Linked DNA regions of Lonchura striata. Each later gene encodes a partner of the first gene's protein in a complex. Links are inferred from orthologs where the notes say so. Each region holds a gene or a part of one and is shown on either strand. Other genes may lie near its edges.

What was found.
Region 2: EIF3E (region 1) and EIF3G share a complex: the UniProt entries of both Homo sapiens proteins name them as parts of the eukaryotic translation initiation factor 3 (eIF-3) complex. The link is inferred for Lonchura striata from reciprocal best matches to the Homo sapiens genes EIF3E and EIF3G.

Annotation. Positions count from the first base shown.
Region 1 is NC_134603.1:18,474,772-18,486,590, reverse strand, and holds the start of EIF3E (eukaryotic translation initiation factor 3 subunit E), read right to left. Parts: upstream 4,662-11,819; 5' UTR 4,605-4,661; coding exon 4,515-4,604; intron 2,835-4,514; coding exon 2,720-2,834; intron 1-2,719. UniProt on the Homo sapiens protein: Component of the eukaryotic translation initiation factor 3 (eIF-3) complex, which is required for several steps in the initiation of protein synthesis.
Region 2 is NC_134623.1:1,633,508-1,645,468, reverse strand, and holds the start of EIF3G (eukaryotic translation initiation factor 3 subunit G), read right to left. Parts: upstream 4,460-11,961; 5' UTR 4,388-4,459; coding exon 4,368-4,387; intron 3,111-4,367; coding exon 3,061-3,110; intron 2,025-3,060; coding exon 1,932-2,024; intron 894-1,931; coding exon 805-893; intron 115-804; coding exon 55-114; intron 1-54. UniProt on the Homo sapiens protein: RNA-binding component of the eukaryotic translation initiation factor 3 (eIF-3) complex, which is required for several steps in the initiation of protein synthesis.

The DNA.
Region 1 (11,819 bases):
TGAGGTATCTTCAGGCTTCCACTAAGGGAGAAGCAACCTTTAACTAAGTTCACTTAATCCAAATAAACTCGCAAAAAACGAAACAATCCAATGATATACAAAGATAGATTTTCTTCTTACTGATGATCAGGTTCTGAAAGAACATTTAGAGAATACTTAACTAAAAAGGAACAAGAAAAATTTCAAGCAGCTCAACCTGCAAAATTATGATTTTGAACGCTGTGTCCTTAATGGAAACATTAAGCCCTTGATGAAAAACTGTTAGGAAATTCAACTAAGTTTTAGGGTGATTGTTTTGCACAGACCCCAAATTCCTTACCAAGTGACAGCAATGCAATAAAATGAAGACTTAAAATCCAAAAAAGTGTATATATTTAAAAAAAATACACAAAAAATCACCCTGACATTGGCTATGTAAAACACACAGGATCAGAGAAGCCAAGACTAAATCCCAGGAGATAAATGCAGGAAACTCCAAAGGTGAGCCACACACCAGAACACTCAATGCCACAGTAAACAGAGTCAACAGTTCTTTAATGATTTGACTACACAGATATTTGAACGGGACATCCAAGGTGGTTAACACCATAATGGTGACCCAACCTAAATATGAGAACAACTTGCCTGACAGGAAGTGTTTCAGTAAGGAGAAATTACCTCCACCTTTAGTTGACTCTTGAGATTATAAAAGAGGAAGAAGAAACAGATAAAAGAAAAAACATTCAGTTGACTTACTATGAATACAAAAATGTTTTCCTGTGACATCTCCTGGGTGTGTAATTTTAAGTCGATCTCATGGAAGACAAGACAAAAGGAACTCTAATTCATGCAGGGATATTTCCAATTATAACTGTGTAAGTGAACTTAGCTTTGAGTACTTTAAATAGTGAAATCTTAAAAAGGGTAAACTTCTAATGATGCCAGCAGTTCCACGAGTAAGAACCACCAGTCCACACACGCATTCTGATAAGCACTGATACAAGATGATACACATACCAGAAAGATCTCAGGTCTTTGCATAGAAAGCTGTGCAATCAAACACCCTGAACAATGTGTCAAAGAACTAGCTCTGCTTATGTTAACTGAATAAAAGCCACACATCAAACAACAGTAAGTCATTATACAAAAAAAAAAAAAAAAAAAACAAAAAAAAAACAACCTGCCAAACTGATGATGTAAAATCTTGAAAGGTAGTTTTTCTTATACTCTTTTCAAACAAGTGTGGAAATTGCTGGTATTTGATGAAGGAAGAGGTCTCCAAGTGAGCAAGTTAATTCAACTTTCTTGCAGCTGTGACCTTATGAAGTTATACCCTAAGGTAATCTGCTTTACTAACTGGCTACAATCAGAATTCTGAAGACATCTGGAGTAGTTATTTTGTGGAAGTCTGCTAAAATTACTATTTCTTGTATTGCTTACTTCTTTAGTATTTTACTCCTTAATTATTACTGATAACAGTAATATTCAACAGTTTAAAAAGGCTGAAGCAGGCAAAGAAAGAGGAATATCTATTCAGCTCTGTGATTTTTGTTATAGCCTTGATACAGCCTGACTTTTTTAATCAGTAGGACTGCTAAGTAACCTAAAGGTAAAGCTATTACCACAAGTGTTTCTTTAGTTACAGAAGTGAAACCCTCTGGTTCTCATTACATGTTAAAGTCCCATGTGTCACAGTACACATGGCTATAACAGTGCTGGCACTCATGCCCATAACAACAGCCACCCAACACTAGCACAGACTTGGCCAAAACATTGACTCCCATGTCCATAAGCCTATCAATTCTCTTCTTCCAGAGAGGTGAGTGGCCATCTCTGCAGCTTCAAGAGCCTGAAAAGAGCAAGACCCAGAGGAAAAATGCAGCAGCACCCAAGTCTCTTATTCCTAAGATGCAGCAAAATAGACTGTAGTCCCAATACCTAAAAAAATATGAGGCATTCACCAACATGGAAAAAAGGTGGAAAAATAGGAAGACAGTGGATATTGGAAGACTAGGTCAGGAAGAAATGAATAAAATGAAACACCCAACCCATTATAAAAAAGAACTGGGAGAAAACTCTTAAAATCAAAACACCCATGAAGAATGGAAATTAGATAAAGGTATATAATCTATTTTCTCCCCATTCCCAAATGTTCCTCAAAATTACAGAAATTTAAGTAGCAAACAGAGTAGTTATCAAAATCACGGATAAGATAGTAAGACATCACCTTCATTATAAGTTTAAATATATTTTGTCCTAGGGAAGCAAGTCTTATATTGCCAAAACTGAGGAAAACACACACTTTCAAAAAAAAATCTCTCTCTCTCAAGACCTAAAAATCAGCCACAGACAGACAAATCAATGGAATTACTTAGACAATGCAACTCTAATCTTAACATACTGGATGCTTTAAAGAAAAAGTCACCAAATCATTGTTCAAGTGTTTGACAGATGAAAAGCTACTGCAACTCCATTAGTTGCAGCACAACACCTCTAAAGTTCTTGAAATTACCAAATCAGCATTGAAATACTTATGAGGTCACTCAAAGGTCAAGTTCCTGACAGACCAACAAAACCAAACTTCCCAGGATTAGGGCATTCTGCTTGTCTCAGTATCTTTTTGATAATGACAAAGTTAAATAGTACCCTAGTTTTTGAATGCAACAAGCAATTACCACTAGTTATTTATTTTTGACAGAAAGGTTGAAAAACAAGATTTACATCTAAATGAGCAGCTTACCATGAGGAATTTCATCGGAATAAAGATTTTTGTACACATCCATAGCAAAATCCACCATGTTGGTATCACTAAGGAGATCCAGTTTTCCTTGGAGCAGCTCTTTTTCATTGTATATCTGAAACAGGCATTATTAACAGAGTAATCTGAATAGTGTTGAGGAGTTTCAATTCATATTATGTATTACTTTGATGGCACAGTTTATGGACTTCTGTACAATTGAATTAAGTAACAAATTTCACTGCTCTATAATTAAGAGTACTTTCCATAAAGCCTCTCTGCATTTACAGTCTTGACAAAATACCAAATATTTCCTGCTATCTACGAAAGCAGGTACTTCAAAAGCTAATTAGAAGTCAAGTAAGTATTACTCGTCTCTTAACAGGAATAGTAATTCCTATTGCAAAATTACATACAAATTTAAAAAATAAAAAAAATCTTTAACCATACCTTTCTTTCAAAGTACTGAATACTTTCCACAAAATAAAATGCTGAACAGTGAGGACTAGTTAAATTATCTAAAGTGAATCTCAGAAAAGATGCACAAGATTAAACTCACAATTTAACTGTAGTGCAGATTAACCTAAAATATGTTGCTAGGTCTATAGCATAAAAACAAATTTAGAGTATGTAATCGAATAGCGTACTTAAAACTTTTCAAATTGTTTTCTAACGTTCATACTCCATAATTTATCAGTGAGCTACAAACTGCTGTTAGATTTTGAAGATGTAGGTGACGGCCAAACCCAGTATATTCCTCAAAAACATATTTGCACAAGAGCTGCATTACAACTCACCACATTGCAGATACAGAATCTGTAGAAGTTTAATTCAGCTATGAACATTGTACTGTTAAAAACTAACACCACAAAATAAACTATTTAATTAACTTCAGCTACCATAAAAATGCCCCCAAGATGACAGACATTAAGCAAACTCCACATGCTAGACCTGACAGCTTCCTAGGTCAAGGTGTCTCAATGCACGAGTGTGGTTCATCAGTTCCTTTCTGAAGGCTAAAAATAAGACCTACTTTAAATTCAAAACTTATATAACTTTACGCATTCTTCTCCCACTTTAAAATAGTTTAGATGGATGAAAGTTTATTCAAAAGTATGTGAAGCACTCGTCTGAGCTATCCCCAGCATAACTAGGTTCCGTGTAACAGTATAACTTAAAAATATACATAAGAAGACCAATAAGGGATAATTCCAGAAGGGACTTATATTTGTTTCCAACATAAATTCGGAATGACATGGGTTTCAAAAGAAAATTAGTATCATTGGCGTAACCCCACAGACCGCAGAGGGACGGCCCGAGCACCAAGAGCCGCGGGGCTATCGAGGGTGTCCCACGCCGTGGGGCTGCGGCTGCAAGGGAGAGCTTTGACTTCTCCTTTCTCCGCATATAGGTGAGGGACAGACACTACACTAAATCCGAGGAAGGAAAAAGCGTAGGAAGTCGGTGCTGCCTCGCAAGCGAGGGGCCGAGGAGCTGCGCGGCGTGATCGAGGAGCGGCTCCCTCAGGCCTCCTGTGGGCTTTGCTCCCTGCTCGTCCTTTCCCGGGCAGCCCCACACGCTTCACCCTCGACTCACGCGGCACAGGAGCCTCGAGCTCCTCCTGCGGAGGCTCCGAACCCCCACGGGCCGCGCCCCGCCCGAGCAGCGCCCCGGCCCGCGGGAGGAAGCCCCGGCCGCGGCGCGCCCCGGCCCGCGGGAAGCACCGGCAGCTGGCAGCACGGCCTGCCACTTTCCCGCTCCCGCAGCCGGCTTCCTCAGCCTCAGGAGAAACACACACCTCCTTGACAGAGAGGAATTCCAGCAGCGGGAAGACCAAGTGCCGGTCCAAGAAGTGCGCGATCCTGGTGGTCAGGTCGTACTCCGCCATCTTGGAGCCGGGAGAGAGGAAAGGCGGAGGCGCGGCGCGGCTCTTGCGGGCACTGCGCCTGCGCGGCCCCGCCCCCAGCGGCGGGGAGCCGGCGCCTGCGCGCCGAGGGCCGCGGCGAGCAGCCGGGGATGGGCGCGGTGGGCGCGGCTCCTTCCCTTCCCTTCCCTTCCCTTCCCTTCCCTTCCCTTCCCTTCCCTTCCCTTCCCTTCCCTCTCCCCCTCCCCCCTCACCCGTGCGGGGCTGCGGCACCGAGCTGAGCCAGTGCTGGGGGACAGCTCGGGCTCTCTGGGGCAGAGTGCGATCCCTGGAGGGCGAACATCTCCTGAAAGCACTGTGGGCTGTCAGTCCAGCCCACACGCTTTGTGCGTCGAGTGTCAGCTTGACTTGATCTCGATCTAATCTGGTCATGAGAATCTGAAAAGGGGTCTAAGCTGACCTTGGCTCCCACCCAGTGAAAAGGTTGTTAAGGGTTGGTCCATGTTGGCCATCTTTCCAAGCTCTCCATGGGGAGGCTGTGCCAGATGAGATGGAAAAAGGCTGGGGAGCTACTGGACAATGGCTTACACAGGGAACTCCAAGCAAGTGCAGGAATGTATTGCTGCGTTTAGCTACAGAAATGGAAGAATCAGTAATATTGCCAATAACTTGCATATTACTTGTAGTCATGGTAGAAGAATTGGCACTGGCTGCCCAGAGAAGTGCTTGAGTCCCCATCCCTGAAGGTATTTAGAAAATGTCTGGATGTGGCACTTAGGGACATGGCTTAATGGTGGACTAGATCTTAGAGGTCTTTCCTGAGCTAAATGATTCTGTGATTTATCATGTTAATTCACCAGAAAGATAAAAGGTGTCTTTTCCTGTTACACCATAAATTTTCTAGTGATTTTTGTCAGGACACACAGTTGTGTTCAGTAAGTCAAGCCTCATCTCATAAAGCATGATTAAAACCTTTGTCATGAGGAAACTTTTCCTTTCATGAGCAGAGATATAGTAATTTTTTTAGCAATTCACATAACTACAGACTATGTCTACAGGAGCTGTTCATGTGGAATAGCAAGTTAGTATAGTTGTAGTACAGGTTAATTTTAGACTTGGATGGTTTGTTTTAAATGTATATGGGAGGTGAGGAATAAGAAGGTCATAACAGTTATTAAGCCATTATTCAGGCAGCTAGTGATGTTCTCCCCACCTTAACATAAAGATGTAAAACTATAGAATTAAGGATGTGACAGGCTGATTTTTAGAGGTAGGATTTCATTACATCTTAATGGTGCTCTGTAAGGGGAAAAAAGTATGCAGTATGAATTAAGTAATTCTTTACATGACACTCAATTGTTCATATAAGTCTGTGATATGTGTAATTTTGTATTAGTAATACTCTTCTCAGAACATCATCTGTGAGAAAGAATCCCTTTTTACCTGCAAGACAACCTAATTTATTTCATAGTAGTTGTAGATACTCTTCACTTTGATACCTACATATCACTGATGGCATAGATAATCTCTAATGGTGAAAACTATCCTCCTGTATTATTTTTCCCATAATAACAGTGTGGATTTCACCAAGACCTGTTCAAACTTTTCACTGGTTTCTCCTTATGACGGTCAGATTACAGAGCTGCCAGTGGAAGACCCTCAGCACTACAAAATGCTAAAGCATCCAAGGCCCCATGCAGTGCTTGGTTTTAGTTGATGTCTGAAAGAAACAGGTACAGTAATGAGAGAAAAGGTGTCAACAACTAGCTGGGGGAGAGAAAGACCATAAGACTTAAAACAATACTGTGCCAAGGCAAAATACCAGGAAATCTCTTTTAAATTCCCTCAGTGAAACATACACTGTGCTGAGGATTACTGCATTGGCTGTATCATCTAGTGAGATACTCACCCTCTTGGTAAAATTTTTCTAAAATATATTTAAACTTTCATGACAAAACAGTCTTAGCCAGTCTTAACTGAATAACAGGAAATGTGAGTTTATTTTGAACTCTTGCACAGACACCTGACTGAGGAATTATACAAAGCATAGTACCTCTAGGCCAAATTTCATTTTTGACATAGAACAGGCTTGAGGCTGAAGTCCTCTAACCTAGTGAAGTTCTTCCCTTCTGGAAATTCTGTACTTAATATTCTTAGCACCAGTGTACTTAAGATTGCTAGCTTGGTTAATGAAATAAAATCCATTTGGCTAGAATTATCTAGATTATCCTAAATAAATCAACAGGAATGTATCTTGCTTGGGCTAAGTCTTTTGATTTCATAATTCCTAAATAGTGAGGAAATTTTATCTGATGGATTCTGTTTACATAATTGGTTGTCATTTATCTTATTGTGAAAATGACAGTGGAATCCAACATTCCTTGAATTGTTAGAAGTAAATAATCACTAGGAAATCATAAGAAAGTATTTTCTGTCTCACATTATCAAAGGGAAATTGAATCTATTAACTTCTTCCACATCTTTTGATATGATTCAAACCTTATGTAATTTGGTTTGGGCTTTTTTTTTTTTTTTTGGTATTTGTAATTCAGAAATTATATTTCTATCCTTTTTCTTTTGACTTTGTGTCTGAAAACATTTTTTAAATCCTGCATTCCATAAATATTTTTACACTGCTTAAAACAGAAATATTTCTAAAACCAAGGATGTATCATCTAGAGCAATTTGGTGCTGTCAACTCTTTCTGGATAGTGTTCAAATCTACAAAAAGGGTATCTCATAATTCAGCTGAGTCATCATAAAAACCATGATTATGTTGACATGCTATTTAAACTATCTGGGGAAAAGAAATGAGGAAACACAAGAGTCCAAAATGCAAGTAGCAGAATGTGGTCAAGTGGAAAAGGACCTGGGGGTGCTGGTGACAGCAGCTGAACACGAGCCAGGTGTGTCCAGGCAGCCAGGAAGGCCAATGACACCTGGCCTGGATCAGCAGTAGCATGGCCAGCAGGACCAGGGCAGGGATTGTCCTCCTATTCTTGGCACTGGTGAAGCCACACCTTGGTGCTGAGGCCAGTTCCAGTTCAGGAAGGACATTGAGGTGCTGGAGTGAGTCCAGAGAAAGGCTATGGAGATGAGGAAGGGTCTGGAATACAAGTGCTATGGGGAGAGGCCGAGAGAGCTGAGGAGATCTAGTCACTCTACAATTCCCTGAAAGGAGGATGTAGCCAAGTGGGGTTTGGGCTCTTCTCCCAGGTAACAATGGACAGGGCCAGAGGACACAGTCTTAAGCTGTTATTGGGGAGGTTTAGGTTGAATCTTAGGAATAATTTCTTCACAGAAAGGGTGATTAGTCACTGGAATGGGCTGCCCAGGGAGATGGTGGTCACTGTCCCTGGAGGTGTTTAAGAAAGGACTGGATTTGACGCTCAGTGCCATGGTCAAGTTGACACAGTGGTGCTAGGTCATAGGTTGGACTCAATGATCTCAGAGGTCTTTTCAAAGCTGATTCATTATAACTTCATAATTATTTGATACATTTTTTTCTTGTTTAAGAATATTGAAGGACTTGTCTAATGTAATTATAATTAACTTAGTGGAGTGACTCTTCATTTTCCTAGTGGAACTAGGATAAGCAGGCTTTTCGGAACTGAAACTGTGTTATATTAAAAAGCCAAGGGGGGAAATGCTTACCTGATGGTACTTTACCAGTGGGCTCTAGACTATATTAGGCTTGATTCTTAAATTTTAGTGTGATGTCTTCTGTTGCTTTTGAACTATTTCTCTTGTAAAACACCCCAAACAATTTATGAAGCTATTGTGTTGCAAGGTTTACTGATGATTTGAATCCAGTGAAGTCAGTCAGTCAGTTCTAATATATTCTCTGTCAAGGTTCCAGCCAAACTCAGATTTTTATAAAACAGGTAAATAAAACACTTTCCCTTTCCCTCCACAGAGGTGATTGGGAAGAACAAGACAAAGTGAAAAGAGTTATTTCAAAGGGAAAGGGGGCTTATGTTTACACTCCACTTGTCAGGCAAAATATTCCCTTTCTCATGGTTTATACTTCCAAGATGTCTGTTGGAATAAAAGTTTTAATCTCCTACAAATGCAGATATCTCTGCTGACTAGTATCCTCTTAAAAGTTACATCAGGCATAATATACTGACACATGATAGGGTTAAAATGATAATTGTTCAAAAACCCATATGATATGGGCTTGCTCTTGGTTTATTACCTTGTTTTTTTAAAGAATATAGTAATATGAAAGGAAGGAAGAGGGCAACCTCTTACACAGAAATGGTCCCTTCCTTTCTACCCTATAGTACAATTTTCATTATTTTCATCATGGTAACAAGAAAAGATAGAAGAAAGTATTTTATTTGAAAATAACACATGCATCTCAAGTGTTACCAGCTTGTCTAATTCTGTGCTTTCAAGAGAGACTTTAAATGCTTGTAAGGCAGAGCTATGCCTGGGAATTGCAGAATACTTCCATGAGCTTCACTGGATTGCTAAGGAATAAATGAATTTGGCTCTGTAAGTATGACATAGTGTACTTTAAATATACAAAACAAGGCAAAGGAAATTGTAAGTAAAGCTTTTTATCCCAGAGTATTTGAATCAACAAGGAAGGGCATAATTTAATCTTAGATCATTATTACTGGCGATGATGGAAGAGCATGAAAGAAACCATTTTTGCTTTCCATCCCAAGCTGTTCACAGGAGAGAGATTTGAAGAAAAACCACTGGAGTTCAAGTATACTTGAGCTGGAGATCTGAGAAAAAAATGAGGCTTTTCAAAATAAGTATGCTTTAAAGTTATTTTTCAAAATAGCTTTATACATTAAGAAGTACCATAAGTCATTAATTAAATAACTGGAAATTGTTCCCTCTTTTGATTAAAAAAAAAAAAAAAAAAAAAAAAAGGGGAATAAAAATGAGGGGGAAAAGTGAAATTTCCCAGTGTGAAATATCTTTAAATGTTGTATCCCCAGGATGTTTGGGGAAAATAATAGGCTATTATGAAAAAGCTTCAGTATAATGAATGTGCAACAACTTGTAGTGAATATTATTTTCACAGAATCACAGAACAAGCTGAGTTGGAAGGGACCCTCAAGGATCAAGTCCAACTCCTGGCCCTGCACAGGACCATACCCAAGAGTCACACAATGTGCCCAAGAGCATTGTCCAATTGCTGCTTGAACTCTGTCAGGCTGCCCAACCACCCTCTGGGTGAAAAACCTTTTTCTAATATCCAGGCTGAACCTCTCTTGACACAACTTCAGGCCATTCCCTTGGATTCTGGTAACTTCACATCTGAAAAGGTCTCTCTATGCCAATGAACAGTAAGCAGCGCTTACTGTGTATTCTTTTTCTACCCTTTACTGTTGGATCAGTTTAGATTAAATTATGAAATATTGAGCAGTCATAGAATGATTGTACATGAAAATCTGAGTTGAAGGTGATACATATATCACTACACTTTTTGAAACAATAATTTGAAAATCATGTGAAGTTAATATAAATCTGGTTATGGGCATGAGTTTTGTGACCTCTTTCAGATCCAGTTTCTTTCTTTGGATTTAAATATTTGCTTCCCTTTTCATTGTTCAGGAAATGAAGTTTGAAACTATCTTAGCTTAAGACATTTACCTAAAACCTTTTAAAAACCTTTTTAATTCATAGAAAATTGAGAGGATTTTTTTTTTTCATGAGGACTTTGGTAAAAGGGTTATAAACTTTAAGCTTTTTGTAGCAAGTGGGCACATTTCTTGAAATGTAAGATATTCTCTGAGCTTTTTCTGAGTAAGGGAGGGTAAAATAATTGTTTGTCACATTCATGTATGTGAGATAGGACCTGCAAAAGTTTACCAGTTTCTGTGGAATTAATTTTTATTATGTTTTCATCTTTTATTATATTGTAAACTTTTTATTATTGCTTTATTTACTACTGCATTAATTTTTATTTCATTACTCTGTTATTGGTCATCTTTCCTTCAGTAATTATGACACATTATGGATACTCTATTGCTCAAATAAGGGCTGCAAATGTGTAACATTCACAACCCTAAATTTGACTCCTAAGTACAGGATTCTAAAGTAATACCCAAATTTAACCACTGCATGCCTTGCTTGCCCTCTAGGTTTATTATGATCTGGTCAGCTCTGACCCAGAAGTCCAGAGGTCTTAACATAAGCACAACACAACCTTCTTAGAAGCCCTGCTAACTGGAACACAGATAGATGGATCAATCCCACAGTAAATTAATGCTGTCTAAAGAGCTTAGGGGGAGAAACAGGGAGGAACAGGGAAGGAGAGATGTATAATGCTTCATACATGTTCTGTCTCTTTTAGGTTCAAAATCCATAGCTCTGTGATCAGGTGGTGGACCTGGCTAAAATCTTCACATCGGAAAACAGTTCAGAGTCAGAAAAATGTGGAAGGGAGCTGTATCTCTTCTACTTATTATTTTTTTATGTACTACTTTTTTTTTTTTTTACAAAACCAGCCCACCCTACACCCTGGCTTAGGTTGCCAAATGTGTCATTTCATCTGTATGGGTTAGCATTCTCATGCAGCAGGGCTGAATTTTAAGAGAAGAGTTAGCGTTGTTCAGGAAAGTGGACAGGAGAGATATGGTACTGTGAGCACATGGACTGGACGTTCATTTCAGGTAACTTAGGAAAAGCATACAATTAAAACAAGAGACAGTCTTTATGTTTCCTGGCAGCTGCATATTTACCTGCATTTACTGAAGGAATATTTTGTCATTTCTCAGGATTGCTGTCTGCTGTCAGCCTTCTGAAATAATTGGAGTCTAGGCTGGCCCTGGTAGCATGGAGGATGGGGTGTCAGAGATTGCAGCCCGATGTCCATTCTCCAGTTCTGTTGTAGGGCAGGATGGGGGCTGCCTGTAGTAGTTTCACAGAAGTGAGTAGCTTGGAAGGGGGTGGTGATGAATATTTGCAGGTAATGCTAGGTGCCTTGCTATGGGGGTCTCTGGGCTATATAGAATGGGTTACAAGGCAATCTGGAGATGTCAGCTGAGCATGCTGTATAAATACAGGCAGTGTATTTCACACATGGGTGAGGGTTGTATCTTACTGTACCTGTCTTCATGAGGTCATGATAATGGTCACAGTCACCATGGCAAATCCTACAAAAAAGCCGTATTCACAATAGTCTAATACACCCACAGCATCATGCATCAGTGTCAGACAGCATTTGTTCAGAAAGGATGGGACTCTGCTACAGGATACATTGCAGAATACTAC
Region 2 (11,961 bases), on another chromosome or scaffold:
TATTTTTTCCCAGGTAAATCCCATTTTTCCAGGAAAATCCCATTTTCCCCTGACCTTGCGCCGGGCCACGGCCTTGGAGGCTTTGCGGGTCTCGATCCGGAACGTTCGGATGATCTGGGAAAAACGCGGGAATGGGGCCGGGAAATCCCAAAAACCCCAAACCTGGGGCCCTCAGGGGACAAATTCGGGAATTCCCGGAGCACCTGAGCCCAAAAAACCCAAATTTGGGAATTCCTGGAGCACCTGAGCCCAAAAAACCCAAATTTGGGAATTCCCGGAGCACCTGAGCCCAAAAAACCCAAATTTGGGAATTCTTGGAGCACCTGAGCCCAAAAACCCAAATTTGGGAATTCCTGGAGCACCTGAGCCCAAAAAACCCAAATTTGGGAATTCCTGGAGGACCTGACCCCAAAAAACCCAAATTTGGGAATTCCTGGAGGACCTCAGCCCAAAAAACCCAAATTTGGGAATTCCTGGAGCACCTGAGCCCAAAAACCCAAATTTGGGAATTCCTGGAGGACCTCAGCCCAAAAAACCCAAATTTGGGAATTCTTGGAGCACCTGACCCCGAAAAACCCAAATTTGGGAATTCCTGGAGGACCTGAGCCCCAAAAACCCAAATTTGGGGCTCAGGTGCCGAATTTGGGGTCCAGAGGCGCCAAATTTGGGGTCCAGAGGTGCCGAATTTGGGGCTCAGGTGCCGAATTTGGGGCTCAGAGGTGCCAAAATTTGGGTTCAGCTGCCACATTTGTGGCTCAGGTGCCACCTGTGCCCACCTGTGCCCACCTGTGCCCCCGTGCCCACCTTGACCTTGCGCCCGTCCTCCTCCTCGCGGTACTCGGTGATGGTTTTGATGTTGCCGTTGACGACCTCCTTGGGGGACGGGAGGGGCCCTGGGGGGGACAGGTGTGCCCAGGTGAGCCCAGGTGTGCCCCCAGGGCTCCCCAGGTGTGCCCAGGTGTGTCCCTCCCATCCAGGTGTGCCCAGGTGTGCCCCCAGGGCTCCCCAGGTGTGCCCAGGTGAGTCCCTCCCATCCAGGTGTGCCCAGGTGAGTTCCTCCCATCCAGGTGTATCCCCAGGTGTGTCCCTCCCATCCAGGTGTGTGCCCAGGTGTGTCACTCCCATCCAGGTGTGCCCAGGTGTGTCCCTCCCATCCAGGTGTGCCCAGGTGTGTGCCCAGGTGTGTCCCTCCCATCCAGGTGTGCCCAGGTGTGTGCGTCCCATCCAGGTGTGCCCAGGTGTGCCCCCAGGGCTCCCCAGGTGCCCCCAGGTGTGTCCCTCCCATCCAGGTGTACCCCCAGGTGTGTCCCTCCCATCCAGGTGTGCCCAGGTGTGCCCCCAGGGCTCCCCAGGTGCCCCCAGGTGTGTCCCTCCCATCCAGGTGTATCCCCAGGTGCCCCCAGGTGTGTCCCTCCCCTCCAGGTGTGTGCCCAGGTGTGTCCCTCCCCTCCAGGTGTGTGCCCAGATGTGTCCCTCCCATCCAGGTGTGTGCCCAGGTGTGTGCCCAGGTGTGTCCCTCCCATCCAGGTGTGCCCAGGTGTGTCCCTCCCCTCCAGGTGTGTGCCCAGGTGTGTCCCTCCCATCCAGCTGTGCCCAGGTGTGTCACTCCCATCCAGGTGTGCCCAGGTGTGTGCCCAGGTGTGTCCCCAGGTGTGTCCCTCCCATCCAGGTGTGTGCCCAGGTGTGTACCCAGGTGTGTCCCTCCCATCCAGGTGTGTGCCCAGGTGTGTGCCCAGGTGTGTCCCTCCCATCCAGCTGTGCCCAGGTGTGTCCCTCCCATCCAGGTGTGCCCAGGTGTGTGCCCAGGTGTGTCCCCAGGTGTGTCCCTCCCATCCAGGTGTGTGCCCAGGTGTGTCCCTCCCATCCAGGTGTGTCCCCAGGTGTGTCCCTCCCCTCCAGGTGTGCCAGCGGTGCCAGCGGTGCCCTCTCACCTCCCTTGAGCAGCTCGGCCTCGGCGCTGGAGGCGCCCCCCAGGACCCCGGGCAGGGGCAGATCCTTCAGCAGCTCGCTGGTGATCACCTTGTCTGGACAGGTAAGGGGGCTCAGGTGGGCACCGGGCACGGTGACCTCACCTGGGCACAGGTAACCTCACCTGGGCTCACCCGGGCACAGGGAGCTCACCTGGTCACAGGTAACCTCACCTGGGCTCACCCGGGCACAGGGAGCTCACCTGGGGCACAGGTAACCTCACCTGGGCTCACCTGGGGCACAGGTAACCTCACCTGGGCACAGGTAACCTCACCTGAGCTCACCCGGGCACAGGTGACCCCTCTCACCTGGACCAGTCCCCCCAGCCCCTGGCACAGCTCTTTGTCCCCAAGGACACAGGTGCCACCCCGACAGGTGTGCCAGGTTTGACAGACGTGCCAGGTGCCACAGGTATCACAGGTGTGCCAGGTGCCACAGGTGTGCCAGGTATGACAGGTGTGCCAGGCATGCCAGGTGCCACAGGTGTGACAGATACCTTGAGTGCCACCCCCCAGAGATGTCCCAGGTGGCATCCGTGCCAGGTGTGCCCTGCCAGGTGTGCTGGTGCCAGCCCCACAGGTGTGCCAGGTACCACAGGTGTGACCGGTGCCACCCCCCACAGGTGTGCCAGGTGTCACAGGTGTGCCAGGTACCACAGGTGTGACCGGTGCCACAGGTGTGCCAGGTGTCACAGGTGTGACGGTGCCACCCCCCACAGGTGTGCCAGGTGTCACAGGTGTGCCAGGTACCACAGGTGTGACCGGTGCCACAGGTGTGCCAGGTGTCACAGGTGTGACGGTGCCACCCCCCACAGGTGTGCCAGATGTCACAGGTGTGCCAGGTACCACAGGTGTGACCGGTGCCACAGGTGTGCCAGGTGTCACAGGTGTGACGGTGCCACCCCCCACAGGTGTGCCAGATGTCACAGGTGTGCCAGTGCCACCCCCCACAGGTGTGACAAGTGTCACAGGTGTGACTGGTGCCACCCCCACAGGTGTGCCAGGTGTCACAGGTGTGCCAGGTGTCACAGGTGTGCCAGGTGCCACCCCCACAGGTGTGCCAGGTGTCACAGGTGTGCCAGGTGCCACTCACCATCCTCTCCTCCCTCCTCCTCCACCTGGTCAGCCCAGCTGGGCTTGGAGCTGTGGGGACACAACGGCCTCGGCTGGCACCTGTGCCACCCTTGGGTGCCCCTGTCCCCTCCTGTGCCACCCCCGTGTCCCTGTGCCAACCCAGTGCCACCCTTGGGTGCCCCTGTCCCCACCTGTGCCACCCTTGGGTGCCCCTGTCCCCTCCTGTGCCACCCCCGTGTCCCTGTGCCACCCCGGTGCCACCCTTGGGTGCCCCTGTCCCCTCCTGTGCCACCCTGGCTGTCACCTGTGCCACCCTTGGGTGCCCCTGTCCCCTCCTGTGCCACCCCGGTGCCACCCTTGGGTGCCCCTGTCCCCACCTGTGCCACCCTTGGGTGCCCCTGTCCCCTCCTGTGCCACCCCCATGTCCCTGTGCCACCCCGGTGCCACCCTTGGGTGCCCCTGTCCCCTCCGGTGCCACCCTTGGGTGCCCCTGTCCCCTCCTGTGCCACCCCCGTGTCCCTGTGCCACCCCGGTGCCACCCTTGGGTGTCCCTGTCCCCTCCTGTGCCACCCTGGCTGTCACCTGTGCCACCCTTGGGTGCCCCTGTCCCCACCTGTGCCACCCTTGGGTGCCCCTGTCCCCACCTGTGCCACCCTTGGGTGTCCCTGTCCCCTCTGTCGCCTCCCCCTCACGGCCCCGGCCCTGCCCGAAGCCCCCAGGACCCCCCGGGACCCTCCCGGGACCCCCCCGCAGGCCCCGTGCCCGGTTCCCGGTGCCGGCCGTCACTCCCGGTTCCCGCTCCCGGTTCCCGCTCCCGGTTCCCGGTGCCGGCCGTCACTCCCGGTTCCCATTCCCGATCCCGGTTCCCGATCCCAATTCCCAGTCCCGTTTCCAGCTGTCACTCCCGGTTCCCGTTCCCGGTCCCCATTCCCGTCCCCGTTCCCACTCCCGGTTCTCGGTCCCACCTCCCAATTCCCACTCCCGTTCCCGGTCCCAATTCCCAGTCCCGTTCCCGGTCCCAATTCCCAGTCCCGTTCCCGGTCCCCACTCCCGGTTCCCATTCCCAAGCCCGGTTCCCGATCCCAACTCCTGATCCCGGTTCCGATTCCCACTGCCGGTTCCAATCCCGGTCCCGGTTCACGATCCCAGATCCCGATCCCGGTTACGGTTCCCGATTCCCGATCCCAATCCCGATTCCTGTTCCCGGTTCCGATTCGCACTCCCGGTTCCGGTCCCGGTCCCCATTCCCGTTCCCCGTTCCCGGTTCCCGCTCCTCAATCCCCGCCCCCGTTCCCGGTTCCCGTTCCCGTCCCCGCTCCCCCTCACTCGTAGTCCCCGGCCGGCATCGCCTCCGCCTCCCTCACGCCGCCACACCGGAAAGGCCGCGCGGCACTTCCGGCCCCCCGCGCGCCACTTCCGGCGGGGCAGGGCGGGAAGCGCCAAGCGCCACTTCCGGCCCGCGCGCGTCACTTCCGGCGGGGCAGGGCGGGAAGCGGTTGCCGAGCAACGGCGCCATGGCGGCCGCGGCCTGCTCGGAGCGCGGGGCGAGAGTTGGTTATAACTTATAGGCGCGATTTATTTGAAGAAATATTACAACATATAAAAACTACATAAAGTATCGAGTTCCACCTTGTACAAAGCGGCCGCGGGGGGGTTCGGTACAATGCGATAAAAACGGGGCAGCGGGGCCGGGCCCTGAGGGGGGGAAGGGGAGGTTGGAGCAGCACAGAGAGAGTGGAGGGAGAGGAATTAAAATAAAAAGAAACAAAGAGAAACGAAAGGCGGATTGGGGAAATTAAAAGCGTTTTAGAAAGGAGGAGATGAAAAGCCAGAAAAAAAAATCTAGGAATTAAAAAAAGGGAAAAGGAAGAAAAAATGAAGAGGAAAATAAGGGGTTAAAAAAATCTTTAAAAAGAGGAGAAAAAAGGAAAATAAAGAGGAAAAAGGGGAAAGAAAAAAAGGGATAGAAAGAAGGGGGAAAAACAAGGGAGGGAAGAAAGAGAACAAACAAGAAAAAATAGGGAAAAAAAATGAGAGAAAAGGAGGAAAAAAAAAAAAGAAAAAAGGGGAAATAAATCAAAAAAGGGGAAAAAAGGGAAAAAAGACCAAAAGGCAACTGAAAGCAGAGGCGAAGGCGAAGCAGCCCCGGAGCCGAGGCCCCCCCGGCCCCCCCGGCTCCGGCCGGGCTCAGGCGGCCGCTCCCGACGGCTCCGGAGGCACCAGGACCGCGGCGAGACCTGCGGGACACGGGGACACTGAGGGGACATGGGGACACTGAGGGGACATGGGGACACCCAGGGGACACAGGGACACCCAGGGGACACAGGGACACCCAGGGGACAGGGACAGTGAGGGGACACTGGGACAGTGAGGGGACACGGGGATGGTGAGGGGACACCCAGGGGACACCCAGGGGACACCCAGGGGACAGGGATGGTGAGGGGACATGGGGACACCCAGGGGACACAGGGACACCCAGGGGACAGGGACAGTGAGGGGACACTGGGACAGTGAGGGGACACGGGGACAGTGAGGGGACACGGGGATGGTGAGGGGACACCCAGGGGACACCCAGGGGACAGGGACAGTGAGGGGACAGAGGGGACACCCAGGGGACACAGGGACACCCAGGGGACACCCGGGGACACCCAGGGGACAGGGATGGTGAGGGGACACAGGGACACCCAGGGGACAGTAGGGACACCATGGGGACACAATGGGATGGTCACTGAGCTGTCACTCAGTGGTCACCCGGGGTCACTCAGGGTCACTCATTGGTCACTCTGGTCACTCAGGGTCACTCATGGTCACTCTGGTCACTCATTGGTCACTCTGGTCACTCAGAGTCACTCAGCGGTCACTCATTGGTCACTCTGGTCACTCAGGGTCACTCAGGGTCACTCAGGGTCACTCAGTGGTCACTCTGGTCACTCAGGGTCACTCAGGGTCACTCAGGGTCACTCAGTGGTCACTCTGGTCACTCAGGGTCACTCAGGGTCACTCAGGGTCACTCAGGGTCACTCATTGGTCACTCTGGTCACTCAGGGTCACTCAGGGTCACTCAGGGTCACTCAGTGGTCACTCTGGTCACTCAGCAGTCACTCAGTGGTCACTCTTGTCACTCTGGTCACTCATTGGTCACTCTGGTCACTCAGGGTCACTCAGTGGTCACTCTGGTCACTCAGTGGTCACTCAGGGTCACTCAGGGTCACTCAGTGGTCACTCTGGTCACTCAGCAGTCACTCAGTGGTCACTCAGTGGTCACTCATTGGTCACTCAGGGTCACTCAGGGTCACTCAGTGGTCACTCTGGTCACTCAGCAGTCACTCAGTGGTCACTCAGTGGTCACTCATTGGTCACTCAGGGTCACTCATTGGTCACTCAGGGTCACTCTGGTCACTCAGGGTCACTCACCGGCCGTGTCCTGGCGCGCTTTGGCCACAGCGCAGGCCTTGATCTCCAGCCCGATGGCCTTGGCCAGGGGAGGCGGCACCGCATTGCCCACCTGGGGACAGACGGACAGACAGAGGGACATGGGGACAGGGGACAGACAGAGGGACAGACAGAGGGACATGGGGACAGACAGAGGGACATGGGGACAGGGGACAGACAGAGGGACAGACAGAGGGACATGGGGACAGACAGAGGGACAGGGGACAGACAGAGGGACAGACAGAGGGACAGGGGACAGACAGAGGGACATGGGACAGACAGAGGGACAGACAGAGGGACATGGGGACAGACAGAGGGACATGGGGACAGGGGACAGACAGAGGGCCATGGGGATGAGGGACAGACAGAGGGACAGACAGAGGGACATGGGACAGACAGAGGGACAGACAGAGGGACAGACAGAGGGACAGACAGAGGGACAGGGGACAGACAGAGGGACAGACAGAGGGACATGGGGACAGACAGAGGGACATGGGGACAGGGGACAGACAGAGGGACATGGGGATGAGGGACAGACAGAGAGACATGGGACAGGGGACAGGGGACAGACAAAGGGACAGACAGAGGGACAGACAGAAGGACAGAGGGACATGGGACATGGGGACAGGGGGACAGGGGGACATTGGGACAAAGTGAAAAGAGGACATTGGGACAAAGGGACAAACGGACAATGGACAATGGGACAATGGAAGAAGGGACAAAGTGACAAAGGGACAATGGGACAATGGGACAATGGACAATTGGACAATGGACAAAGGGACAATGGACAATGGGACAATGGGACAATGGGACAATGGGACAATGGGACAATGGACAATGGGACAATGGACAATTGGACAATGGACAAAGGGACAATGGACAAAGGGACAATGGACAATGGGACAAAAGGACAATAGGACAAAGGGACAAGAGGACAATGGAGAATGGGACAAAGTGACAAAGGGACAAGAAGTCGGTGCCCAAAGGGACAAAGGGGACAAGGGGACACCGTGTCGGTGCCACCGCGGTGCCGGTGCCACCCACCTGTCTGTGCTTGTCCAGGATGTTCCCGAAGAGCCGGAAGGTGTCGGGGAAGCCCTGGGAGCGAGCGCACTCGCGCACGCTGACCACGCGGTGCTGCTCGGGGTGCAGCACGCGGCCCTGCAACGGCACCAACCCGACGGGGTGGCCACCATGGACCACCAAACCCAACGTGGTGGCCACCACACCAACGTTCTGGCCACCACTGACCGCCAAACCCAACGGGGTGGGCACCACAGACCACCAAACCCAACGGGGTGGCCACCACACCAACGTTCTGGCCACCACTGACCGCCAAACCCAACGGGGTGGGCACCACGGACCACCAAACCCAACGGGGTGGGCACCACACCAACGTTCTGGCCACCACTGACCGCCAAACCCAACGGGGTGGGCACCACACCAACGTTCTGGCCACCACTGACCACCAAACCAAACGTGGTGGCCACCACTGACCGCCAAACCCAACGTGGTGGCCACCATGGACCACCAAACCCAACGTGGTGGCCACTGGAGACCATCACACCCAATGTGGTGGCCACCACACCAACATGCTGGCCACCACGGAGCGCCAACCCACCAACATGGTGGGCACCATGCATCACTAACCCAACGTGGTGGCCACCATCACTGAGCGCCAACCCAACGTGCTGGCCACCACGGTGCGCCAAACCCAATGTGCTGGCCACCACTGACCACCAACACAACATGCTGGCCACCACTGACCACCACATCAACATGGTGGCCACTAAAAACCACCACACCCAACGTGGTGGCCACCAGAGACCACCACACCAACATGGTGGACATTGGAGAACATCACACCCAACATGGTGGATGCTGGAGATCACCACACCCAACATGGTGGCCACTGGAGACCACCACACCCAATGTGGTGACCACCAGAGACCACCGCACCCAACGTGGTGGCCACTGGAGACCATCACACCCAACATGGTGGCCACCACTGACCACCACACCCAACGTGGTGGCCATTGGAGACCATCAAACCCAACCACGGGGCCACGGTGGCCATCGGTCGCCACCAAGCAACCCGCCCAACCGTTGGGACACCGACGACCGTTGGCCACCATCGAAGGCTGGGGCGCGGTGGCCACCGGTGACCCCCACCAACACCCCCCGCCGGCCGTGCCCGCGGCCCCCCGCCCCCACCTGCTTGCCCATGGGCTCGGGGTTGGTGACGGTGGTGCTGAAGAAGCCGTCCCACTCCAGGCGCCCGTAGAGGCCGGCCCAGTGGTTGTGCCGGTTGCCGGTGTGCGGGAGGCACCACGGGATGAGGGTGTTGAACTGCCGGTCGGCCGGGTCGCACGGCTTCCCTGGGAAACACCAAAACACCACCAAAAACCAAACCCCGGGAATTTCCGGGAGAACGGCCGCGCCCGCCGGGCCGGGGACGTGTTTCCGGAGGTCCACCACCCACCTTCGGCGCAGGAGCAGACGCCGCGCAGGGCGCCGGCGCTGCTGCGGCCGTTCTTGCGCTCGTGGTGGGTGTAGCGCAGCTTGCGGGTGGTGGTGCCGTCCGAGAGCCGCACCTCGATGTTGGGCAGGTCCCGCCAGTCGGAGCCGGGCGCCAGCGGGATGTGCCGCATCCGCGCCGCCACCAGCGCGCTCATGTCCTGCCGCCGCCGGCGACAACGGGCCGCGTTGGGCACCGCCGCCGGGGCCCGCGACGTCCAGCGCTCCCAAAGCCAGCATTCCCAAAATCCCCACCATTCCCAAAACCACCATTCCCAAAATCCCCACCACCAAAACCACCATTCCCAAAATCCCCACCGGTCCCAATTCCAGCATTCCCAAAATTCCCACCACCAAAACCATCGTTCCCAAAATCCCCACCGTTCCCAAATCCAGCATTCCCAAAATCCCCACCGGTCCCAAAGCCAGCATTCCCAAAATCCCCACCACCAAAACCACCGTTCCCAAAATCCCCACCACTACCAAAACCACCGTTCCCAAAATCCCCACCGTTCCCAAAACCACCATTCCCAAAATCCCCACCACCAAAACCACCGTTCCCAAAATCCCCACCGTTCCCAAATCCAGCATTCCCAAAATCCCCACCGCTCCCAAATCCAGCACTCCCAAAATCCCCACCGCTCCCAAATCCAGCATTCCCAAAATCCCCACCGGTCCCAAAACCACCATTCCCAAAATCCCCACCACCAAAACCACCGTTCCCAAAATCCCCACCGGTCCCAAATCCAGCACTCCCAAAATCCCCACCACCAAAACCACCGTTCCCAAAGTCCCCACCATTCCCAAATCCAGCATTCCCAAAATCCCCACCACTACCAAAACCACCGTTCCCAATGCCTCCACCATCCCCAAATTCACCATTCCCAGCACCTCCACCATTCCCAAATTCACCATTCCCAAAATCCCCACCATTCCCAAATCCACCATTCCCAACACTTCCACCATTCCCAACACCTCCACCATTCCCAAAATCTCCACCATTCCCAGCACTTCCACCATTCCCAAATCCGCCATTCCCAAATCCACCATTCCCGGTACCTCCCCCATTCCCAAATCCGCCATTCCCAAATCCACCATTCCCAGCACCTCCCCCATTCCCAAATCCACCATTCCCAAAGCCCCACCATTCCCGGCACCTCGCCCATTCCCAAATCCGCCATTCCCAAACCTCCACCATTCCCAGCACCTCGCCCATTCCCAAATCCACCATTCCCAGCACCTCGCCCATTCCCAAATCCGCCATTCCCAAAGCCCCACCATTCCCGGCAGTTCCCAGCAGCTCCCCCATCCCGGATTTGGGCGGCTCCGGCGGGATCCGGCGGCTCCGGGTGCCGTTCCCACCTTGCAGATGTGATCCCTGAGGATGGGCTGGTACTGGGAGCCGCGGATCTGGCGCTGGAACCACGACTGGGGCTCGCCGTTGTAGGAGATCTCCAGCGCCGAGGCGCCGTTCCGGATCTCCGGCAGGTCCGACATCGTGTCCCGCACCGTGATGGTGCGGAACGGGCCCGAGTACGTCCTGCGGGCACGGGATTCCCAACTCGCCATTCCCAACGCGGAATTCCCAACGCGGCATTCCCAACTCGCAATTCCCATCTCAGAATTCCTGACTCGCAATTCCCAACTCGCAATTCCCATCTCAGAATTCCCGACTTGCAATTCCCAATTTGCAATTCCCAATGCGGAATTCCCAACTCACAATTCCCAAATTGGAATTCCCAATGCGGAATTCCCAACTCGCAATTCCCAATTTGGAATTCCCGACTCAGAATTCCCAACGTGGAACTCCTGACTCAGAATTCCCAACTCACAATTCCCAATGCGGAATTCCCAACACGGAATTCCCAACTCGCAATTCCCAATTTGGAATTCCCGACTCAGAATTCCCAACGTGGAACTCCCGACTCAGAATTCCCAACTCACAATTCCCAATGCGGAATTCCCAACTCACAATTCCCAATTTGGAATTCCCGACTCGGAATTCCCAACGTGGAACTCCCGACTCAGAATTCCCAACTCGCAATTCCCAATGCAGAATTCCCAACTCGCAATTCCCAATTTGGAATTCCCAACGTGGAACTCCTGACTCAGAATTCCCAACTCACAATTCCCAACTCGCAATTCCCAATGCGGAATTCCCAACTCGCAATTCCCAATTTGGAATTCCCGACTCAGAATTCCCAACTCACAATTCCCAATGCGGAATTCCCAACGTGGAACTCCCGACTCGGAATTCCCAACTTGCAACTCCTAACACGGAATTCCCAACACAGAACTCCCAACGCTGAACTCCCAACTTGGAATTCCCAACTTGGAACTCCCAATTCAGAATTCCCAACTCCCAATTCCCAACTGAGAATTCCCAACTCGGAACTCCCGACTCAGAATTTCCAACTTGGAATTCCCAATGCGGAATTCCTATCTTGAAACTCACAACTCAAATTCCGAACTCGGAATTCCCAAACCAGAATCCCCAAGTGCTGAATTCCCAAAGCGGAATCCCTGAGTGCCGAATTCCCAAACCGGAATCCCCGAGTGCCAAATTCCCAAACCAGAATTCCTGAGTGCCAAATTCCCAGACTGGAATCCCCGAGTGCCGAATTCCCAAACTGGAATCCCCGAGTGCCGAATTCCCAAACCAGAATCTCCAAGTCTCCAAACTCCCAAACCAGAATTTCCAAGTGCCGAATTCCCAAACCGGAATCCCCGAGTGCCGAATTCCCAAACCGGAATCCCTGAGTGCCGAATTCCCAGACTGGAATCCCTGAGTGCCGAATTCCCAAACCAGAATCTCCAAGTCTCCAAACTCCCAAACCAGAATTTCCAAGTGCCGAATTCCCAAAACAGAATTTCCAAGTGCCGAATTCCCAAAGCAGAATCCCCAAGTGCCGAATTCCCAAACCAGAATCCCCGAGTGCGAAATTCCCAAACCAGAATCCCTGAGTGCCAA